5 linked regions of the Daphnia pulex genome follow. The protein of the gene in region 2 interacts with the protein of the main gene of each other region in a biochemical or structural test. Links are inferred from orthologs where the notes say so. Each region holds a gene or a part of one and is shown on either strand. Other genes may lie near its edges.

Region 1 (5,001 bases), on a different chromosome or scaffold from region 2:
ACAGTTGGTTCATTATTTAAGGTCATTATCTTGAGTGGAGTTGTAACGAGCGATGCAGATTTAGTTTTGCACTGCCCTGGCAGAACTTCTTGGCAGCGAAAACAAATGGCAATCGGGCCATGAGCGTCGAGGTAAGTGGCCGAATCGACTATTTTCTCTCGACGATCACCAACTGCCAAGAGAGTGTAGTAGCAGGCTGGATTGATTATCAGTTTCCGTTTTGCCCGCGTGACAGCCACGTACAGCAAGTTCCGCTCTTCCTGCTCTTCGCCGCTTACTTCACCATAAGCAAGAGTTGGAATGAAGTCGTCTAGCAAAACGACCGTATCCCACTCCATTCCCTTGGATTTGTGAGCGGTAGAGAAAACGACATCTGAAAAAAAAAGTAATAATCATTTGTTAAGACGTCAATTAATGGAAGCTCACGTGTTCCATACCTGCATCGGAAATGTAGACATGAGATTTTCGAATCGCATCGACATACGTCTCCGTTTTACTTTTCGCCCAGGTCACTTGAGCTATTCTCGCTCCCCACTCGTGGTCCATCGTGGCTTCTACGTATTTGGTGAAACTGGTGAAGTTTTCAAATAACTTCCGATTACGTAGAAAGGGACTGGTAATTTTGTCGTAGGCTGCAAAAAATAAGTTTGATATTCATTCAGCATAATTTAGCATTTTTAAGATTGAAACTACCTCCTCTCCAAAGATAATAAACGTCCATTATAAGGTCCAATCCCATGTTCTTAATTCCCTAAAAAATGAAATTTTCTTTCATTATTTACATCTCACAAACTTGAAAATAAGTTGATGTTACTCCGGCAAAAGCGATTTTAGGCTTCTGGGAACTGCTACCAAATTCACAACCAATAACTTCCACGACTTTCTTGAAAAGTGCCAGGTTGGTCCTAGCCAGGTAGCAAATCTTGCCGTTAGTTTGCAGTTGGTGGTTTAGTTGATCATTGGCATCGCTGAGCGATACCAGTGCATCGTGCACATCAATGCCTACCAAGCATTTATCATTGACATTATTCAAGACGGATAGACAGGAGTTGGCCATGAAACCAATTTCTGGTCCAAATCGGAATGACTAAGAAGAAGAAAAAAGTTAGACAATATAGCTATAGAGATTTGTTTCATGAAGTTACTTGAGTCAAGTAAAACGTGTGGGTAGCAGGGACTTTATTCAGTGCATTCACGGCATATCCTGGATTGAAGAAAGAAACTTATTAGGCAACCTCAAATAAATAAACGTTGAGTTTATGCTATTCTTACGCCAACGATAGATCTGCTGATGTGGATCTCCGACGATAATGCGTTTGCCTATGTTGCTGAGAAATATATCGAGCATGGCTCCGTTCAAATCTTGGCCTTCATCCACCATCACACAGTGAACTTTTTCAGTTTCGAATAAATTCGGTTTTTCCAACTGCCAAAGTTTGAGGAATGCATCACACGGCAATTTCAGACGCCTATCGTTTGGATTCTTAATGACAGACCAGACTTTTTGGGCGTCGGCCGCTAATTTCTAAAAAGAGGCAATTAATGGAATAACAGGTGTTTTTTAGAGAAGCAATAAACAGAGATTAATTAGCTGAATCTCACCTGTCGTTCATCGAGGGTCAGAATTCTGTCTTCAACAACATTTTCTCCTGTGGCATTATCTTCAGATGACGATTTGCTTCTGATTTTGGTGGGAGCATGTTCAGGAGTTATTGTATCATCAGCCGAACCCCAAAACCGATTAAGGGTGTCAAGAACCAGTTTCTCTCGTTGATATCTTTTTAGTCCTCGCCGATCCTTTTCAAGTATATGGCTTTTAACTAAACTCGTTGGGAAAATGTTACCCGTTTCTTTATTCTTCATCAAGCCAGTAGCAATGATGTGGTTACGAGCCAACTTATGAATCGTCGTGCATTTTACGTTTTTCGGAAATTTTCCGCCGGCTTCATCGGACACTGCTCTATTGAACACAATAAGCAGAAATTCGGTTTCTGGATTATTTTCGGTAAAACGTAGCAAAGTAGTAGTTTTCCCGCTTCCAGCAAACGCCACGATCTTGATTAACTAAAACAAACATGAAAAGAAATTCAAAGTTTTAATTTTTAGAAAATCTCTATAATTAATTTAAGCAATTTACATCATCTTTTTGGATGCGATGATTTACAATACGCGATTGTTCGTGTGTCAATGGAGGAGGTGAAGACTTTTGCTGGCTTGATGACTGGTTTGACACTTGACTAATAGGGGCACCCGTCCAGCGATTCTCAAACAAGTTGAGGGCATATATCAAATTATAATGCAACCTTTGAGATAAGTAAAATAACTTGTGATTATAAGAACAAAGCACAAATACACATTAAAGAATGCATACTTAGCTGGAATTCCAAACTTTCTGTGGAAGTAGAGAAACAAAGTGCATAAACAGTAAAATTTCTCCATTACCTCCTATATGCAAGGAATATGTGTTAGAGGAGGCAAAACAGGTTAAATTAATGATGGAAGATTGAATTTACCATTGTCGTGAAATCACTTTCAGAATGCGTCAATAAATCAAACAATCTATACATTTCCCATGTATCATTTGAGAAGATGCAAATCATAGCAGTAATCCCCCAGAGTGAAGTAGTTTTATACTGCTCAACCACTAATCTTTCAGCTAAACTGAAGCGGGTATGACTTTTCAAATACCTCATGGTATTCACAGGAGACCCAGTGAACTCCAAAAAATAGCTAAAACAGAGTTATTTATACTTAACAATATAAAACTTTTGGTAAATATGTCTTACAAAATCAAACCACGGAGACAGTTTTGCACTCCCGTAATGTTGTATGAATCACAGAGTTGGTCCAGGAAAGCAGTAGATTCCTCAACATTCAAGCTGTATGAAAGATAAAGTTTTTTCCAAGGTATAAACTGAAATAGGAGAACAAAAGTATGTCAATGTTCTATTGTTTAAAGAGTGGTTTCAAACAAAAATGAATGCCATATCGGCCATATACTACCCTACCTTCTGTCGACAAATGATTTCCCTCCAATTTTGGCACACAAGCACACATGACTTATGAAGATCTATAACAGGTATGTGGGCCAAAATATTTTCAAGCACTTGAACAGGAAGATTATTCATTTCAAAATTCGAAAATACTATTTTGTACAGAACTACAACCAGAGTTACAATTTCAACGTGTAGACGGACTCGTAAACGCGTCCGGTGCGTTGTATTTACGTTTTTCAACCAAAACAATAGCACAATCTAGCGTCCATCTAGCGTCCAAAATATGAAGTTTTTTTTAAATATCCAACTCAAACAAGAAAAAACCAGTTAATTAATCAATCAAAGCTAATTTCATTTTGATTCAATTAGTATAGAAATACTGAAATAGATTCATGAGATAAAAAAAATAAACTCGAATAAAAATAAAAGCCCAAAAAAGTGAAACTGATTGTGTCGGTTTTTAGAGAGTTTATTTTTGAATATTCTTCTCCAAACGTCTTTTTTCCCCAGCTGGGCAGCATTATTAAAGAGAAAGGTTCATACAAATGCATTATTTCATTTTGTTTATTCAGGAGAGTTACAGAAGCGGAAAAAACTGAACCAACTGACAAACTAGACACTAGATACAATCACGTGATGATGCGATGGGTAACGTTTAATATGATTGATATGGCTTAGATAAAGACCTAGCTGACCAATTAAGGATCTAATTTCCATTCCATTATATCAGCGTAGATGGCACTTGGGTTAGCCACAAGGGCACTTGTTTCGTAATATTTGGTCGTAAGCTTTCAAGCTTATTTGATGGTTTAATAAGTAACACTTATCACAATAAGGCGGCAAAGTTCCATGCAAGGTTGATTTTATTTCCCACACTACAAAGTTTATTTTTAATGATTTTGGACTGGGCATTACTTCATAGATTGGACGAGTTGCACTCTTGTATGGAAGGTCAACAAACTTAATAATGCAGTAGATGAAAAGGCATTCTCATCCACACGTTAGTGATTTCCTCTTTCGCTGAAATCAGCTTGAATGATTTGTTTTTTTAAGTACCAACGACACCTCCCATAAATAATAGTGCCAGGATACGTCGTTATCCATAAAGCTAATAGAAACGCAATATGTTACTTCAGCATTATCTTCTCAGAGGTATTGTTGTTTTAAACGTATTGTGAATATTGACGTATGCGGTAGTAACGGGAGCCGATATGTACAAGGCCTTCAAAATGGAGCCATTTGTGTACCTTGTTACTCGATCTTTACAGTTTGATATTTAGCCTAGATTATAGTAAGTGAACTCGGTTGACAGATGGTGGACGTCACATCGTACGAGCCATCACAATTGACGCAATCGAGGTGAGCCGTTCACTCTTTGACCTTCGTCTACTAAACAAATAAGTTGATTGAGTCTACGAGATTTCAAATTTCTAGGCTTACGCTCTTTGCGATAATATCAATATAATAGCTGCACAAAATGTAAAATACGTGCACGAAAACGTGATGGCCGGTGATGGCCACAGAACGGCATCCATTTTTGAGAGATAATTCTAAAAACAAAAAAACCCGCAAGATTAGTCTCCGTGATTTGGAGTCGAATACTTGATCCGTTTCAAAGTCAAAGGTTGGTGGCAAACAAGATTCTTTACCTCTAAACCATGTTTCGTTAATCGATCTTCTATAAAATTTGAAATAACCCCGCCTCTAGCTCTTAGCAAAGCATCATGTGCGGACGACTATAAAACCCAAATATCTTGACGGTCGATTCAATTAGATATTCACAGCAGTACCTGTGCACCAAGGTAGACCCATAGATTTGTTGTACCTTTATTTCTTATGTGCTAATAGTTTTTTTTCAATTATTATTTTCAAGATTCAATCACAATCACCATGAAATTGACATTGCCATTTGTTGTCGTCTGTGGATTGATGAGTTGCGCTCTGCTGGTTGAAGCCAAATCCAGCAACAGCTTCCGCGAACGTAAATTATCATCGGAAAATTAGC
Region 2 (5,013 bases):
GGAACTTAACGTGTCCGCTGAGATTTGCAGTTTCGCCCAAGAAGATGAACCGCCGGGGTTGTTTGTTTTGGGGTTTTTGTTTGATTGGCAGTTGCAGCAAATGACCGAAACAAATAAAATGGTGAAAATGTACCTTACAATCGATTTCGTAGCCATTTCCATCCAAGAATGAAAAAGAAACTTGAAAAGAATTAATTTATAGATGAGGCTGGGGAACAGGTTAAATTTCGTTGTATGGCACTTTGACGTACGTTTCAAACTGAGCGGGAATTCACGAATAACTGCGTATTCATACAGCAAAATTAGGCAGATTCATTGGAATGGGTTTTTCCAAATTTTCGACATTGCGTAAGCAAGTGTGTCGGGTTCCCGATTTCGAAGTCCAGCGTCGTGTAGACTTTGATAAATCAGAAATGTCATCCAATATTCCCGCCAAGGTTTTATAAACAGAACATACTCCGAGTATACAAACAGATGATTCTCGATTCTTTCAAACAAGATAATATACCAACACCAATAAAATATACAAATATAAAATGTATAAAATATTACATTCAGTAACTTTAGATTAATCTCAAGCGCTCACACATTTTAAATTTAAATCAATTTTGTACAGAACGTTCTTTGATCCGATACTCACCAACCGCCCAGCGCTGCATTTTCGATAGCAGTTTGATCTTGTCGCACAATTCGCCGGCCTATTTTTAAAAACAAACGGCCCACAGCATTCTCCACTCTTTTCCTCAGTCGGTTAGAGATGGCCAATTTAAAGTGGCAGTTTTATTTTATTCTATTTCTTTTAAATATTTTAAAATGATGGGAAAATCCAAACATAAATACATGTTCGAAAATGATACTCACGAGTCTTTGATACTGTGGTTTGATATGAATTTTATCTTCCGTCGCCACTCGCCAGCGTTGTAAACATTTCGTCAAAACTGCGCACGTCGCACTTGAATGTCATGTCGAGGTTACAAGTGAAAAGTCAGCAAGTCTTGCCATTGATTTTCTAAAACAGACTGACCCCAATATGCTAGTTTAAGAAACAGTCGAGTTTGAATATTATCTGCGCGTCTACTATAAAATTTAATTCGTTCAAATACGACCGATTGCCGTTTTAAATCTGTTACGGGCTAATTCCTACAAGAAATAAGTCCTAAATTGAGAAAAAAAAATATTTGTATTCAAATTCAAGCAGTAATTGCCACTGATAATCTCAGAACAATGTTGAACAGAATGCGAACAGGGTAGATTGCGTAAGATATTTTAAAGTTACAAGTAAACCATACAGTTACATGTACACTGACGTTTTTTTTCGATTTCCCACCTACTTATAAACACAAGACAAATTCATATTTCTGGGGCGATGGTGAATCGAAACTTTTTAAACAACTAAAAACGGAGAATTCATAAAAGGGTTTACAAGAAAGGGGGTAATAACCTGTAGCGGAGGACGGTCCCTTCTGTGGCAGTTTACTCTTTGCTGTCTCCAATGCCATCGGGCAAAATTGCGAACATGGCTTCAGACTCTGGCAAGCAGGGTGAGTCGTAGATTTTGCAAATTCGGGTTTCTCCACGACCTTTGCGCAAGTAAAGTCTACAGAAAGGAAAGTTGTTACTGTCAGGGCAAAGGGATGCAAATAACAACAAGTGAAAACTTACCGAGTAGTAGACGCGTGAGCCATGATGTTTCCACCGATGGGTTTCTTTGGGTCAGCGGCGAACATTGCAGCACCATCGACTTGAGCAACTACTTGATTGGTTATAACCACTGCCACGCCAAACTTTAAAAACACATAAAAAACCAAATGTGATTTAAGAAAATTTGAATGGTTATTTACGACGTCTAGTATACACGTACTTCATCTGCAAGTCGAAGGAGCATGCGCAAAAAACGAGCGAGATGCATTTGGCGAGCGGAAAGTTCTCCTCTTCCCGAGTAGTCGGTCCTAGGAAGATAAAAGAATGTTTGCATGCCATACATGTCTTTGAAGAAAGAAAGATCCTTTTGAGGATTACCTGTAAAGAGCTGTGGCGGAATCGACAATGAGAAGAGCGTAACGAGAATCGGCCATCATGGCAGAGGCTTGGATCAGAAGCTGTGACTGGTGATCAGTATTGAAAGCTCTGGCGCAAGCTACATTATCCAAAACATCTGAGCCAGATAAGCCATATCGTTCAGCTACAGCCAACAAACGCTCCGGACGAAAGGTTCCTTCAGTGTCGATGTACAAGCACTTTCCTTCAGCTCCTCCACTGTCAATGGGCAACTAAAAAGTTAAAATGGATAAAAACTTATTAGAATTTGAATTGGTGAACTTCTGAAATATCTATTACTTGACAGGTGACTGCAAGAGTTAGGCACAATTGAGTTTTTCCAGTACGAAACTCTCCAAATATTTCTGTGATACTCCCTGTTTCTATGCCACCCCCAAGCAATTTGTCAAGCTCTTTGGATCCTGTAGTAACCTGAACGAGCTCTGCACGCTTTTGATGATACTCTGTGGCAGTAGAAAAACCCATGGGAACCATTTTTTGAGCTTCGGCCTGAGAGTTGTGAGGATGGAAACATTAACAAGAGCTAATGGATAATTACATGAAATATTTTTTTACAATGATTTTATCAGCCTTGGCCTCGCTGACTCCTTTGATGGTCATGAGTGTCTTTTTAGGGACATAGGCTACTGATTCAACTGTGTGATACCCCGCTTCTTGCAGTTTCTTGATATCTGCACCACTAATTCCATTGCCCTGGAAGTATTGAAAATTGAAATGAATTGTTATGTGTTTACTAATTAAACAATGAGTTTGCATTTATAAATTGAGTGTCTGTTGTTTCAACATTCTTACTTCAAGTTTACTGATTGCTGAAAAAACAGTTTGTTCGAGAGCTTCGACGACATTTTCTTCTTCTTCATTAAGATTTCGAAGTGCAGTAGCCATCGTACTGATTAATAGCTTATGATAAGCTAATGATTAAAGAAATCACTGTTGCAAAGCAGAATATGTCAATGAAAAACAATTGTGTGATTCAGCTTCTCGACTCAATTAATCAGTTTCGGAAGAGTTTCAGTTTCAATCAGTCTCAGCTATCAAAACGAAGTGATCACATGTGAAACGTTCACACAACGAAACATTCGAGCGGCAAAAACAAATAGTGCCTGTATTTAAAAATCAACCTTGCCAGATTTGTTTCAAATGAGCGTGCTAATGGACAAAAAGTTTTCCCATTTTTGTAATATCTGGTAATATATGGAAGAGGAATATACTTGATTAAAATTTTAAAATAAAAAATTATTTTATGTTTTATTATTTAACATGATTTAGTTTTATAATCTTTAAATCTAATTGGTGATTGCGGGGTTAAAATAAAGCGCTTACGTCAGAATCCCAGAGCAGAATACCTGGTAGGTCAGGCGGGAAACCTGATGGGAGAGCATCTACTTTTTCGCGGCTGAACTCTTGACGACTCGACTTTCGACTAATATTCGACTAATTCCCACATTACATATTCGTTTTTTAAATAAGTGAAATGCCCCCGAAGAAGAAACAAAAAAAAGATAATGGTTTCATGGTATTCATGAAATCTATGAAACCACAATTAGAAGCCAAGGGACATAAGTTTCCTAGAGGCTTGACTGACGTTATTCCGGTGTGCTCTCCGTTATGGAATGTAAGGAATTTGTGTTGTTAATACGTCATTCTGTTAACATTAATATTAATGAAAGTGAAACTTAATTAAATTCACAGAAATTGTCACCTGAAGAAAAGGCAAGCTACCATAAAAAAGCTAAAGATGGTGGTGGTACTACTTTTATCAAAGAAGAAAGATGTGATACTCGGGGAGTTCCATTAAATTGGAAGGAAAAAGAAGAGCAAAAGAAAATATCGGAAAAAGACCATCTTCTGCAGAAAGTAGAAGATATGATTTCATACTTTGCTACTCAAGGAAGTACGCTTTCATCCGAAAATGCCTTTTTCCCGTCACATTCAATATTTACAATTTCTAGCTCTCGAGAATCACTACTTTTATCTGGCACATTTCAACATTGCTGTCGCTACCAGTGAGGGAGAGTACCCTCCATGTGAAATCGCTATAGTGAAGTTTTCGCTTCTGGATGGGATAGCTAAGTGTTACCATGACTTTGTAGAACCTGGTATTTTCATCTACCAAATTTACTTGGGTATCAAGCTTTACACCATTGTTTTATGAATTCACAGGTCAAATCCGACTGGGGTATGCCCACGAAGCCAAGCTACACTCTGAAAACACACACAATATCCCAACATTTGGATTCAAACTAGCCAATTCAGATTATGTTAACATTACGAATAACATCAAGGAAATGCTCAAACAACCAGTAAACTTCCCTTTAATTAAGGAGTTTAGTAAATAATTTTATTAACAAAAATTTACATAATCCTAGGATGGCGGGATTGCTCCTTTATTCGTGGTCGACGAAGACAACGCGAAAGCGATTTATATAGTGGACTGGTTAGTCAAAAAGAGTTGCCAACTGGACGATTCGTACGAGACGTGCAGCCCGTTCAAGATCTACAGTTTGAACAAACTCTTTTACGAGTTGCGTCGCCAGGCCGACGTGAACAATTCGACGTTGAAATTTTCCAGCATTGCGCTAGTGGCCGAACACTTTGGCAAAGGAATGTTTTTCTACAGCAAAAATATGGCCTGCCAGGTATAAATTTCCAATGGCTAATAATAATCCCTTTGACCTAAAATAATTTGAATTACGTCATTGCACAGTGGCATGTGGAAGAAGACAATGTAACGTTTTGTTCGCTAACGCGGGTGCGCAACTACGCCTACACGATTTCCGACTTGTGCTGCGAGTACTATGACTTGTCTCTGCTGCCTAATCGCCACTGCCCTTCTGAAATTGCTGATGACAACAAATATGTCGTAATGCCCAAAGTGACTGAAACGGAAGAACCGGAGGTAATTTCATCCCATGAAAATTTGCATGAGAGTTGAAAGGAAAGGCTAATGTGTGA
Region 3 (3,475 bases), on a different chromosome or scaffold from region 2:
AAAAAAAATGACAGAAAACCAGTTTGTCCTTATGCGTACCCATCCAGCCTACGAACGAGTTCCTTGAGCTGGCGGACTTGTTTGATATCCCATATAGAAGAAAGACATTGTCATCTATTATACCTATACCTGGTTTACCAAAAAAAGAAGTTTTTGGGCTGTCCTCGTTTTAATTTTCGAAATTTCAATTCATTAATCTATTTCAATGAAATACGTAGATGTTCGACGCAATTAAATGTATCAAATAAATTACCTATAGTAGTCCCTGTGGGCTTTTCCAAGCTTTCCCGTTGCATCAGTCACCCGCGCCAGGTCTTTACCGTTTAAGGTATTTTTGTGAAAGTCTATTATAACCGATTTATAATCTTGCTGAGTGAAGTTATTTTAAAATACCAATGTTTTCTTAGCGATTGACAGAATTGAAATTCTCATAGAATAAGTCGCCTGAACGCGTCTTCAAAGTGAAACCGGTGGCTTATAAAGCGAAATTATTCCGAATTTTAATTGTCAGTTTTCTACGAAAACAACGGTGAATGTTGGAAGTAGCGAGTTTGCAATTAGTTTGCTTTTGTAAGAGCGCGGTTCCATAAAGAAAAGAGGACCTTGTTAAGGGGACTTAAAAAACAACTTCAATGACAAATGATGTCAAACAGCAAACACACAGTTGAGAAGGAACTGGAACGGGCGAATCGGAGGAAACCGTGAAAGGTTTTTCAATCGAAAAGTTTTGAATTCCACGTAGAGCTGTGTCTATAAATTCATGAGAAAGACAACAGCTTATAAATAATTTAAAATTATTATTCCAAAGTTCATATCAGTGTACATACAAGGGATTACAAGCAGTCGATTAGTATTAAACCGTCGATTATAAGACGAAGGCCTATCATCCGATGTTCAAATGAAAATTCATAAATGGCGGACTAATGTCGTTGGATTTCCATTTTTCTAATATAGAATTGCGTACTTTTTTCTCTTACCTCGGGAATAACATAAAACAGTTTGATAGAAATGTAAATTCGGTGTGGTCAATCCAGTTGCTTGGGCCGAACCAAAATGAAAAAAAAAGAAGCTCAATTGTTAAAAGTCGACGGTTAGCAACAGCAGCCTAACCAACTTTTAACAGGCCGAAATGTAGGTTATTGGTCTTACATTAAGCAGCTATTCCTGTTGTCAACTGCATTACATCAGAAAATGTTTTATTCAGACTTATATGGCGTTAGATAACCAACCCTTCCTTACATCGGTATCCCATATATGCCCTTCTACTTTTATGTAATAACGGCTGGAATTCTAGAGTCGTCAGTCCAGAGGGGTCGTCTCAATTAGTTACGTACGTGAACTTGGAGGTCGATCCTGCTCAATACAATGAAATGCAGATGCAGAGGAACCTGCTATAAAATCAGAGATAACACCTCAATGTCCCTTTCCAAGGCCATTTCTTAGTCGCTTTTGAAACAGGTTCACAGAAATTTTACGTCATATCTAAAAATAAATGTTGGTTTCCTTTAGTTCCAAACAAAAAATTAATCGTGTGTAAACAATCAAATGGTGCACAACTAGGCATTATAATAAAGCAAAAGAATCTGTATAGAATCGTTTATCCTCATCGATATGCATGTGTGACCTACGTTACAAATAAGCTTATCCATTTAAAGTTCTTCTTATGACAATTCAAATTGAATTTGCGCAAATGAAGATAAGAGTTTCTAAATTTTATATTTATATTCCTTCCTTACTTTAAAATTCGCGGCAACGTTCGACTGGTTTTTCTGATGTTCACCGCCATCTGTGGTTAATATTATGTAACAAACCCAGCAGACGCCTTTTTGAAAACGCCAAGTCAGAAGTTACGATCAGTCAGCTTGAAGTCAGACTCAGAACCGTCAAGTTAGAAGCAGAACTTCAGTGAATCACTGTTAGTTGTTAAAAATCAAATCTATCTCTTAATAATAGTTCAGTCATGGCAGATGTGAAGATTGAAAAAACTGACTCCACCACCGAAAAGCCAAAAGTAGATTTAGGTCTGCTCGAGGAAGACGATGAATTCGAAGAGTTTCCGGCTGATGGTAACATTTCTTACTACCTAGCGAACTTGAAATTGCCTTTAAACTTAATTGCCTATACTTAAAATATATGTTCATAGTTACATGTACCCATTGAATATTGTAGATTGGACTGGCAAAGAAGAAGATGCTGACGATGTCAATGTCTGGGAAGACAACTGGGATGATGACAACGTTGAAGATGATTTCAGCCAGCAATTGAGGTTTGAATACTAGTAGAAATTATTAATGACTTAATTTGGCATAACCATAAAATCTTTTTATTTATTTCATAGGGCTGCTCTGGAGAAACAAGGCATTAAAATGGAACAGTGATCATTAAAATAACACACCCATTTTATTGTACCACTGTTCACTTAAAAATTGAATACAATACTGTCTCTTTTGTATTTAATTATCTTGGCATTTCTTTTAGAAATGTACTAGAATTGGATTTGCCAGTCAATTAGTTCCTTTTAAGTTATAATGGAATCCTTCCTAAATTTTTCTAATAAGTTTCTGATTGAAACCTGTCCCAGATAAAGTTGTTCCATCTGTCAATATCTTCCTTTAAAATGGGACTCCCCAGCATCATATTCCATACCAATGAACCATTCTTAAACCCAAATTTATTTTTTAATTATCAACAGTTTCACAACATTCAAAGCAGATTGGCCCTATCGCAGTCCTAACCGGAACCGCTAGGGTTCTGATTTATTTTTTAAAATTATTTTCATTTATTAATTTTAAAATTAACATTACCACAGATTCACAGATTTTATTCAATTCAGTAATTACTAGATTATATGATTATAACGTGGTCATTATGTCAAAAGTCAAATCTGTTCGATTGATTGTTTCGTAAGTTCGTTAACGATTAGTAGCTAGCAGACAGACATTGAAGTTTTATCCGTTTTCCTCACTAGACCAAGACGGCATTTGAAAAGTGTAAACAAACTGCCAAGGCCTAAATGGTTTCAATTTTTTTACGATAGCTAGAGAAAAAGGGTAAACAATTAACATAATATTATGGTGAATCAATCCAACATAAGTATATTTTAGTGTTAAAAGGACAATGGATGGGACTTGCATTGCAACTGCCAATGAACTCCAATCAGAAAATATGGATGATGATGGAAGGCCTAAAAGTACCAGTAGTGATACATCCATCCCACTGTAAGTTATATCTTTATGGCAATTTGCAGTAGACAGGGACTTCATTTAATTGTAACCATATTTTTTTTAGTGAAGATGATACCTTGGCGGACACTGTCAGTAATAAAAAACCAGTTGTAGTTCCCAGCACAATGTTTGAATATATTGGACCTGTCACAGGAAAAGACATGTCTCACTTTAAATGCTTACTGGGCTGTTTACCTTCATACAATACCAACGGTTCTCCGAAGTACATCTCTTGCTCGAACTACTCAAGA
Region 4 (3,553 bases), on a different chromosome or scaffold from region 2:
TATTAACCATATGTTTTGTCTTTTAAAAAAAGGATTAAAGGCACTTTTCGTATTGTGCACGAACTTAACACGTCATCTTAGTAGATCCGTCTTCCTTGAAAAACGGCCGCCGACTGTTAAGAATGCTTGCATTAATCTGAACTATTTTGAGAAATGAAACCCGGCGAATTTTTTAAAAAATATAGTACATGGCACGAGAAAATTGAATGACGAGCCGGCATTGTGGCATAGTTGACACATTAGTAACACGGATCTCTTGTCAGAACCCAGCCGTTTATTTTAAACAGAAGTTGGTCATGTTTATTGACATATATTGACTTTGAGAGTTTAGAGTCTAATTTGGCATGATACAAGTTATAACGAACGAAGTGAGGTTTTGGGGGAGTAATCCTATTTCTGCTTTGGTCCCGTGACGTTTCCGGGTCTCACTGTTTTATTTGGCACTTTTCTTCTTCGAGCGTTTGTTTTACTTTTACATTTGCCCTTGCTAATAATCTTCACCTCTAAAATGTCATAAAAATATCAACTGTGCATCGTTTAATTATGTATGATATAAAAATATACGTTTTTTAGGCTGTAATTTGTTCTTGCATGCAACCATTGCGGGATTCAGATAGGTAAGCCCGTCGTTGCCGCAGACATTTTTCACGACTGAAGAATAGTTACATTCACGAATATCAGGTCGAAGACAGCGTCCTTTATAAGCTATTCGAATCACTGAGAAAACCAAACAAATTCAACACGGATGGAACCATTTCCTAAAAAAGAATATTTCAAATAGCCTACTGTTTCCAGGGCTAGCCTTATTATGGCACTGTAAAGCCTTCAGATTCGTGTAGGAAATCCCGTTAACCCCACAAAGTGGTTTATAACTTTTGGGAATTTTACAACTTGTTGCACCTACTACTAGTACAACTGAACAACACAAAATAAAGTATATTATAAATTCTTGATTGACAATTTATTTTTACCAAGCAACAGCGTTGTGCAATGCATCCTCTCTCGAAAAGGTTTGTACGCACTTTGCGATCAAAAGCAAGAAATGGAAGTCAAGACCTTTCATCCTTGAACTTTGATGTCAATATTCATAGCAATACAAGTTGATAGAAACAAGTGGCAGAGTGCCCATAAGTTAACGAAAGGATCATTCTCGGTTACGAAAATGGTTTTATTTATTCGATTGGAAATGAAGAACAGAAAGCAGGGCGATATTTTGATGACAACATTGGAAATTAAAAGACAGTTTTGTCCAGAAAATGTGGAAAGTTTTCCATGAATGCATCGAGGTTCTTAAATTAATTGCCACCAGTTTGTTCCTGATAAACCTCAATGACATCATCATTCTCCATTTCCAACTAGAACAGCAGTACAGAAATTCATTACTTGCATATCATTTAACACATCAGCTAAGTGCATTAGACACAACATACCTGTTTAGGGGTTTCATCATCATTAATTCGCCTTCCATCAAACAAAAACCTCAGCGAAGTAACTGGCACACCCTGAACACAAAGAAAATCTTTATCAATAAGTGAAAAAAAAAATGACAGGAAAAACCCTTACCACTCTTTCACTATAAGACTTCTTGAGTTTGCCCATCTGTGTCGTCATCTTTACTCGAAAGTGAATTTCATTTGAATCCTGGCCAACAACTTTCAATTTGATGTACTCTGATCCTGCATCACCGGCATCAGGTTTCTGATCCTGTATATTAAAAATAGAAACCACAGTTAGCCAAATTGGTATAGGGTAATGCAAAGGCAAACAGTTAAAATATCGAACACATGATCAGAACTAAAAAAAAATCGACTATCCAGCAAAGACAACACGTGAAAACAAATTTTATGGAAAAAGAAACGAATGGGGTAAATTTAGCAATACTTAAAAAGTAACATAGATAGTTACGTGCTTACATCAGCCATGGTTAAAACAAGTTCTTTTTCTAAAACTAGCAGCACGTTTGAGACGACTCTATTGAAGAATAATGAATAATGGCGTGGGCCAAAAAAGCGCCGAGAATAAACGTTGCCGCACCAGCTATATACGTCTGGATGCCGGCACTGCACTAAAAACTTATTTTAACAACGGCCGGCCACGTATGAAATGAGTACATTTTTTTAAATTAAAAAACTTTTTTTAAATAAATTGGAATATATTAATAAAATTTGTAGGATTTTTTTTAAATTTTTTGCTGCTTTGAAGAATATTTTGCTTGAAACAATTGCACAATATGTAATTTGGGATTGATAATATTTAAAATTAAGACTGATGATATCCAATGGCTTGATTCAATAAAAATATAAATTGAGATCTTCTTCGACTACATTTTGGCTGCTTAAGCAATTATTACACAGTTAGCAATCGTTATGGATGATTATTAGCAACGTGTGCGTGCAGTTGATGTCCCTTAATTTAATTTGATAATCATACATCATATTAATGTTTCATGAATTAATAGGTTTACAGCCGTCACTACGTCCATAGCACTCACTCCATAAAAATTTTTGCTGAGATTGTAAATGCCAACCGCAGCATAGAAACGAGTTACTCCAATAATCAGTTAGCAAACTAGAATCGAATTTGGTGAGTTGATGACTTGAATTATTAAATGGCGGGACGACTGCTGGTTTTCCCTGTACGAATTGATAATGCTGTCGTAATAAAAAAAGGAACATTGTTGCGACATCTGTAGGTAGTAAATAATTTGTGTTGTTACAGTTACAGTTTCGCATCGTCGGATTTTTTTCTGTTTGCTGACTTCGTTCTTTTGAATGAGCGACACACCAGTATTAATCGACCAATAGCATCCTATTCCAGGGGAATTTTAAGAAAATTTCTTGCTTACTGACAAGTTGTGTCTTATGGAGTACAGCAAACCGAAATTATAGAAGACTATTTTATTAGATATTTTTGAATGAATGTTAAATTTTGGTTTGATTCTGTAAACCTTCCACTGGAATTCGAGCAATTTTTTTTAGTAGTCAAACTTGTTGCTAACCCAACGAAAAATTTCCAACAGCGTCATTTTCATTTTAGGAGTCGAATTTATTGCCATTTTTATTAATTAATTCCATATAGCTATTAATGCGTTGTTGTACAAATTATTTTGTTCTAGATTATTGCGCTTTAGTATGAAATAAAACCTTACCTTTGAGACGGTTTGGGGGTTTTATTACAACAAGATAAATTTTATTATACAAGATGATGCCTCTTCTTTACAGAAATATTTTTTAAGCATTGCACTGATCCTTCGGTAGTTGAACAACAGTCAGACGAGGAAGCCAATCAATCTTTGTCAAAACTTGTTCGTTTCCTGTATTGACTTCATCCATGCTATAATGCAATATAGAACTAGAGAGGAAAAAAGTACAACTCACTAAGCCACACGATTGTCAAATTGTCAAAAAAGATACGAAACATGTGTCATATTGATTCAAGTATTAGCCGTGTGATTCATATACAAATGTGTATCTAATGTATTATTTGTTTTGGCAACGAGTGTACAATTCACATTTGAATGAGAAAAAAATAGAACGGAGGCAGAAGGTGCATT
Region 5 (4,806 bases), on a different chromosome or scaffold from region 2:
TGTAGAGCAGTGAGAGCTGCACTGTGATCTTCATTTATTTTCATTTCTATCTTTGCCTCTCTTGATGGTTGAAATATTTCATTGCACATGAGCTGCGAAAAACAATACATTTGCAGTTGTCTGAAAAATTATTTTTTGTAATATCCATGTTTATTTTGCAAATCATTTATTATCATGTTACACACACGGTTTTTCCGGGATCTCGATTTGATTCACAAGAACAGGAATTCATAAAGAATTGTTCCTGTATAATCCGAAAATGAAGGTTTTTTATAAGTTTAATAGATAAGGAGCAAGGGAAAATCCATTCATTCTGATGCAGCCATTTCTTTCATTTCTCGAATCAATCGCTCGTTGTGCTCTTTATAGTTGATTTCCTTCACTTCATAGACATTTGTTTTGAGGCGGCTTTCATCCTAAAGAAAAGGTAAAAGCGTCAACAGATAACAAGATCGAAATTCATAATGCTCATAGACTTACATTGTACGTCTCCATTTTCACTCTCAGGCGGAAGACATACCACTTAAAAGTAGCTTCTTCGAAAATTTTCTGAAATTCGTTATTATCCGAATCCTTCAATCTACCGACCTCGTCTGCGGATTTCCCTAAAATTTATAATCAAATAAATAAATATTATATGCTAAACGTAACATTAGTTCGAAAACAAAATTACCAAGAAGAGTTTCAGCGGTTTCTTGGAAGCAGGTTACCCATTGCTGGTCCGTGGCATCCGCGATATTGACCTATAACAAATTTCGAGTGCTGTTTTGAGAGAAATAGATTTCATAAAATATCTTTGTCATACCGAAAGCATCATGCGCCATTTGAATTCCTGGAATTCGCGCTGGCATTTCTCACATCGATAGAGGCCATTGTTTTGATCGATGACCTGCGGGAAACGCAAATATTGTCAAAAATGAGTTGTTTTATTATATATTTATGTTTACCTTTTTGTTGCATTCATCACTGGGACAAGCCATGTACAACGCTCTTTCTTTGTTGATCATAGCAACCATAGCCTTAACACTGTAGAAATCAGGTTTATCTTTTCCCAGGTTTTCGAATTTTGCTTCAGCGAAAGTCTTATACGACCCACCACTACCACCAGTGCCAGCGCCACGACTCGCCGAAATGCTAGAAGCGGCCGATGATGAGCCACCGTTATCGTACCACCCTCTTAGTTTGTGAGCTTCATTCATGTCAGGATTGATCTATTAAAAATATGCGCTGTAGAATAGTAGAGAAATAGAAAGTCTTACATTTGATTTTACCTGCACGACAGTAGACGAGACTGTTCCTAGAGAACGACCTCCAAAATCAGAAAGTTTCACTCCTTTTAATGCTACAACAGGCTGGGAGCTAGCGTCAAATTCCTCGCCCATTTTTCCCCATAAAGTCAAATTAACCTGATGTTTGAAGACAAGAATGATTAATTAACTGGGCTCGACAATTAAACGAAGAATCCAGTCATACCTCTGTGTTGGTACTGTCCACCATCTGAACTTCTCGCATCCTCAATTCTTTATTTGTCGTTTTGGAAACGATAACGCGGACGTCATTTGCTGACTTAACCACACCAATGACATCTGAAAGCACGGTCAATCGGTCATATCGTAGGCACCATTCAAATAGAAGAATTGTAATGTTAATGCACCTAAAAGACAACTTACCAATAACACTGTCCTTGTCCAGGCTAGGTAGCTGATCAATGGGAACAAAGTTGAAGGAGATTGATGGGATATCTGATGTATCATCGTGGCAAGGAATTACCTAAAAAATAAGTAAAAGAAAAAAAAATTGAGGCTGGTACGATTGACGATTGAAAAACATTCATACTGTAGTATTTTGGTTGAACGACATTTCATAATCGTTCCTCATACTGCTGTACTGTTTGTTTGCTGCCTTCAGTTGTGCTTGTGAAATGTAAAAGATCTTGCCGATCTACAACGAAAAATAACAATGTAAATAAATAACTTCAAACACTGTTTTTGAATTAAATGTACCTCAATCATGTGGTAAAACTTGTCACACTCGGCATTGAATGCAGTGGCACGGATTTCACCAGTCTCATCCACCATGTCCATCGAGAAAAGCTTTCCTTCACCTCGAGAATTGCTCCACGTACGGATATCGGACTTGTTTATAATTCTCACTTTTACAGTCCACCTACAAACAAGCAAAGTTAATGATTCAATTTTTCTTGTACTGAAATTTCTCAACAAACATACTTGTTTTGGTAGGGTGTAAGGCTTACAATCGGATGGGTAATAATGTCAGACTTCTCTGTTGGCTGTCCATATCCACCAGTTTTGTTAGGTGGTGCAGACTTCGATCCCATATTGTAATTGTTCACATTTCCTAAAGGTGCAGGTTTTGCTGCTGCCTCTTCAGTAACCTCTCCAACATCATTAAGAGTCTGAGGGTTTCCTATTTTTTCTCCAACCTAAACAAAAAATGTTCAAAATGAAGAGATATCCTTATTTGTATTTCGAAACTAAGTAAAGTGAACATACTTCACTTCCAGGCACAATTGGCTCAACATCCAAAAGAATGATAATTTTCTTTTGGTCCTTGCCTGCAGTTGCCTTAGTAGCAACTTTGTTAACAACAAACTTTTTTACTCTAATGATGGTAAAGTTCTCAAGCTGACCATCCACAATCAGATGATTTAGTTGTGTTGCCAACATTCCATATGCATAGGAATACTTTCCATCAGAGATGAGAATTCTGTAACGGTCATTATTGTCTCCCTGAAGATTTTTGTAACCCTATTGTAAGAGAAGAAAATGTAAAAATGCTGCAAATGAAGAAAAAATCTTGCTCGTTGCTTACCAAAACTTGTAGAATTGGAGTTTCATTGTGCAGGCCATTCCCAATGATGGACTATGTCGAAATAAAGATATTTATAGTTTTATTCAAAAATTCGAAATTATGATTGATATTACCGGAATTGCGCCGCTGGTTAGTGCTGGGTGATTTCTTCTGTTCATTTTACGGAACCTTTTTTAACGGGGATTACTTCGTTCAGTCAACGTGCTTGAATTTTTTTAAGCAGTTTTTACGGACAAGACGACGAAGTGCGATGGCGGGAAAACAACAGTGGTACAAACGAAACCAAGGCTGAACGTGCAGCGTTGAATGTTTAAGAAACTTTTTAACTCAATGAAGACCACTAAAAATATAAAGAAGAAAAATAATGAAAAAGTTTTTTTTCTGAAATAAAGGTTCATACGAAGCAAAAATAAGTTTTCGTTTTATTCGCATTTTTGGCGTTGTTGGATTTTTTGTTTTTCGAAATGTCCGGTTGTTATAGCAACAGTTGCAGACGACAACGGAAACTATATCGTTATATGAAAATTTGTGACTGAATTATTTGATTTCCTTCAAAAACGAGTTAATTGCCAAAGAATCTCGAAAAATGATTTCGGAAAACTTTATTAAAGCTATTGACAAGATTAACAACAATGATACTAGTGGTTTGCAAGAACTTATAAAATCCCGGGACGTTGAAATTGACGATGAGGATGAGCATGGAATGACATTACTGCAACATGCCGCTTTTAAAGGGAAAAAAGATATTTGCCAGTTGCTCCTTGACCTGGTAAGTCTAACTATATTATCAATGTTGTTAATTTGATTGAAAAGTTGACTTTTTTTCTCGAAGGGAGCTGATGCCAATGGAGGTCATCATGAACACAAGTATACTTCCCTTCATTTTGCAGCTCTGTCTGGAAATTTGGATATTTGTCAACAATTACTTCAGTGTGGTTGTAAACCTGATGTGGTTAACTCAGTAGGCAGAACTGCAGCTCAAATGGCTGCATTTGTAGGTAGGCTAGTCAATCATAATGTTTGTACAAATCATCCAAAACTAAAATGAATTATTTTGGCAAACCAGGGAATCACACAGTTGTTTCCATCATCAACAATTTCATTCCACGCTCAGAAATAGAGCAGTACACTGTAGCTCCTAGCGATCAAACTGAGCCAAAATTGCCACCAGCTGCTGCACCAGCTTTGCACAAATTTGTGATGCAGGTTGTGCACTTGAATAGACACATCACTTCATTTCTTATTCTGCCACGGAAAAGCACTTGAACTTTTTGTTTTGTTTGATTTATCAGGTCAATCTGCATCCAGTTCACCTTTTGTTGACTATTCAAAAACTTCCTTTGCTTTACGATAACCTCACAAAAGTGAAAAACGTCTTGGAGATACTTAGCGAAAATCAGATGAAGCGCAGCCAAGAAGTCAACGAGATCCTCGCACTTAAATACCACTATTTGCGTTTCCTAGTCGAAAGAATGGCCAAAGAGCAGCAGCAGCACCCCGACAAAACCGTTTTGGAGTTATTAAATCAATATGTTAAAGCATTTTTGAAGCAACGTCAATCCGATGGTTTTCCCGAGTTTATGGACAACTTCATCCGCGAGTCGATCCGCACTTTCCCTTTCAAGGAGACGACCATCTTCCGCCAGTTGCTGGTCAATCTGTCCAAGACAAAAGAGGAGACTCCACTAGCTCTCAATCTTCTCACTTCCTGCATCAACGGTCAGCGTGGATTTCAAGATGACGACGCCTGTGCCACTTGCGGCCAAGAGAAGGTAGCCAGCAAGTGTTCCATATGCAAATCTGTGCAATATTGCAACCGCGATTGTCAAAAGTTGCACTGGTCTATCCACAAAAAGGAGTGCGACAAGTTGGCCAAGCAATTTAAAAATTTGGAAATTAAATCTCAAGACTCCGAGGCGAAGGCTGCCGATCCGGAAACCAGCAAATAGAAATTTTGATTATGTGGGGGTTTTT

The links.
Region 1: the proteins of DNA repair protein RAD51 homolog A-like (region 2) and F-box DNA helicase 1-like form a complex in vitro, tested with the Homo sapiens proteins (2 studies listed by BioGRID, with this or other methods). The link is inferred for Daphnia pulex from reciprocal best matches to the Homo sapiens genes RAD51 and FBH1.
Region 3: the proteins of DNA repair protein RAD51 homolog A-like (region 2) and 26S proteasome complex subunit SEM1-like form a complex in vitro, tested with the Homo sapiens proteins (2 studies listed by BioGRID). The link is inferred for Daphnia pulex from reciprocal best matches to the Homo sapiens genes RAD51 and SEM1.
Region 4: the proteins of DNA repair protein RAD51 homolog A-like (region 2) and small ubiquitin-related modifier-like form a complex in vitro, tested with the Homo sapiens proteins (2 studies listed by BioGRID and IntAct). The link is inferred for Daphnia pulex from reciprocal best matches to the Homo sapiens genes RAD51 and SUMO1.
Region 5: the proteins of DNA repair protein RAD51 homolog A-like (region 2) and replication protein A 70 kDa DNA-binding subunit-like form a complex in vitro, tested with the Homo sapiens proteins (2 studies listed by BioGRID). The link is inferred for Daphnia pulex from reciprocal best matches to the Homo sapiens genes RAD51 and RPA1.

The regions. Positions count from the first base shown.
Region 1 is NC_060017.1:4,720,114-4,725,114, forward strand, and holds the start of F-box DNA helicase 1-like, read right to left. Parts: upstream 3,241-5,001; 5' UTR 3,129-3,240; coding exon 3,009-3,128; intron 2,915-3,008; coding exon 2,787-2,914; intron 2,731-2,786; coding exon 2,514-2,730; intron 2,446-2,513; coding exon 2,372-2,445; intron 2,304-2,371; coding exon 2,138-2,303; intron 2,065-2,137; coding exon 1,603-2,064; intron 1,526-1,602; coding exon 1,273-1,525; intron 1,205-1,272; coding exon 1,146-1,204; intron 1,088-1,145; coding exon 815-1,087; intron 752-814; coding exon 694-751; intron 633-693; coding exon 438-632; intron 374-437; coding exon 1-373. UniProt on the Homo sapiens protein: 3'-5' DNA helicase and substrate-recognition component of the SCF(FBH1) E3 ubiquitin ligase complex that plays a key role in response to stalled/damaged replication forks.
Region 2 is NC_060026.1:14,857,762-14,862,774, reverse strand, and holds DNA repair protein RAD51 homolog A-like, read right to left. Parts: upstream 3,460-5,013; 5' UTR 2,944-3,459; coding exon 2,851-2,943; intron 2,752-2,850; coding exon 2,614-2,751; intron 2,548-2,613; coding exon 2,338-2,547; intron 2,271-2,337; coding exon 2,020-2,270; intron 1,950-2,019; coding exon 1,862-1,949; intron 1,785-1,861; coding exon 1,663-1,784; intron 1,598-1,662; coding exon 1,474-1,597; 3' UTR 1,162-1,473; downstream 1-1,161. Other genes in the region: uncharacterized protein LOC124204007, read right to left, coding at 1-162; protein maelstrom homolog, read left to right, coding at 3,533-3,673, 3,751-3,952, 4,011-4,157, 4,222-4,361, 4,428-4,697, 4,766-4,957.
Region 3 is NC_060028.1:1,555,939-1,559,413, reverse strand, and holds 26S proteasome complex subunit SEM1-like, read left to right. Parts: upstream 1-1,847; 5' UTR 1,848-1,960; coding exon 1,961-2,066; intron 2,067-2,169; coding exon 2,170-2,266; intron 2,267-2,338; coding exon 2,339-2,378; 3' UTR 2,379-2,457; downstream 2,458-3,475. Other genes in the region: uncharacterized protein LOC124209262, read left to right, coding at 3,118-3,218, 3,289-3,475. UniProt on the Homo sapiens protein: Component of the 26S proteasome, a multiprotein complex involved in the ATP-dependent degradation of ubiquitinated proteins.
Region 4 is NC_060017.1:276,301-279,853, forward strand, and holds small ubiquitin-related modifier-like, read right to left. Parts: upstream 2,076-3,553; 5' UTR 1,923-2,075; coding exon 1,914-1,922; intron 1,705-1,913; coding exon 1,564-1,704; intron 1,503-1,563; coding exon 1,431-1,502; intron 1,356-1,430; coding exon 1,296-1,355; 3' UTR 1,148-1,295; downstream 1-1,147. Other genes in the region: serine protease inhibitor dipetalogastin-like, read right to left, coding at 391-503, 565-717, 787-915, 972-996. UniProt on the Homo sapiens protein: Ubiquitin-like protein that can be covalently attached to proteins as a monomer or a lysine-linked polymer.
Region 5 is NC_060017.1:3,019,292-3,024,097, forward strand, and holds replication protein A 70 kDa DNA-binding subunit-like, read right to left. Parts: upstream 3,115-4,806; 5' UTR 2,991-3,114; coding exon 2,946-2,990; intron 2,884-2,945; coding exon 2,833-2,883; intron 2,769-2,832; coding exon 2,514-2,768; intron 2,444-2,513; coding exon 2,229-2,443; intron 2,167-2,228; coding exon 2,004-2,166; intron 1,942-2,003; coding exon 1,837-1,941; intron 1,771-1,836; coding exon 1,671-1,770; intron 1,587-1,670; coding exon 1,474-1,586; intron 1,407-1,473; coding exon 1,272-1,406; intron 1,212-1,271; coding exon 948-1,211; intron 890-947; coding exon 806-889; intron 744-805; coding exon 674-743; intron 606-673; coding exon 481-605; intron 417-480; coding exon 309-416; 3' UTR 129-308; downstream 1-128. Other genes in the region: ankyrin repeat and MYND domain-containing protein 2-like, read left to right, coding at 3,419-3,601, 3,665-3,830, 3,899-4,038, 4,125-4,781. UniProt on the Homo sapiens protein: As part of the heterotrimeric replication protein A complex (RPA/RP-A), binds and stabilizes single-stranded DNA intermediates that form during DNA replication or upon DNA stress.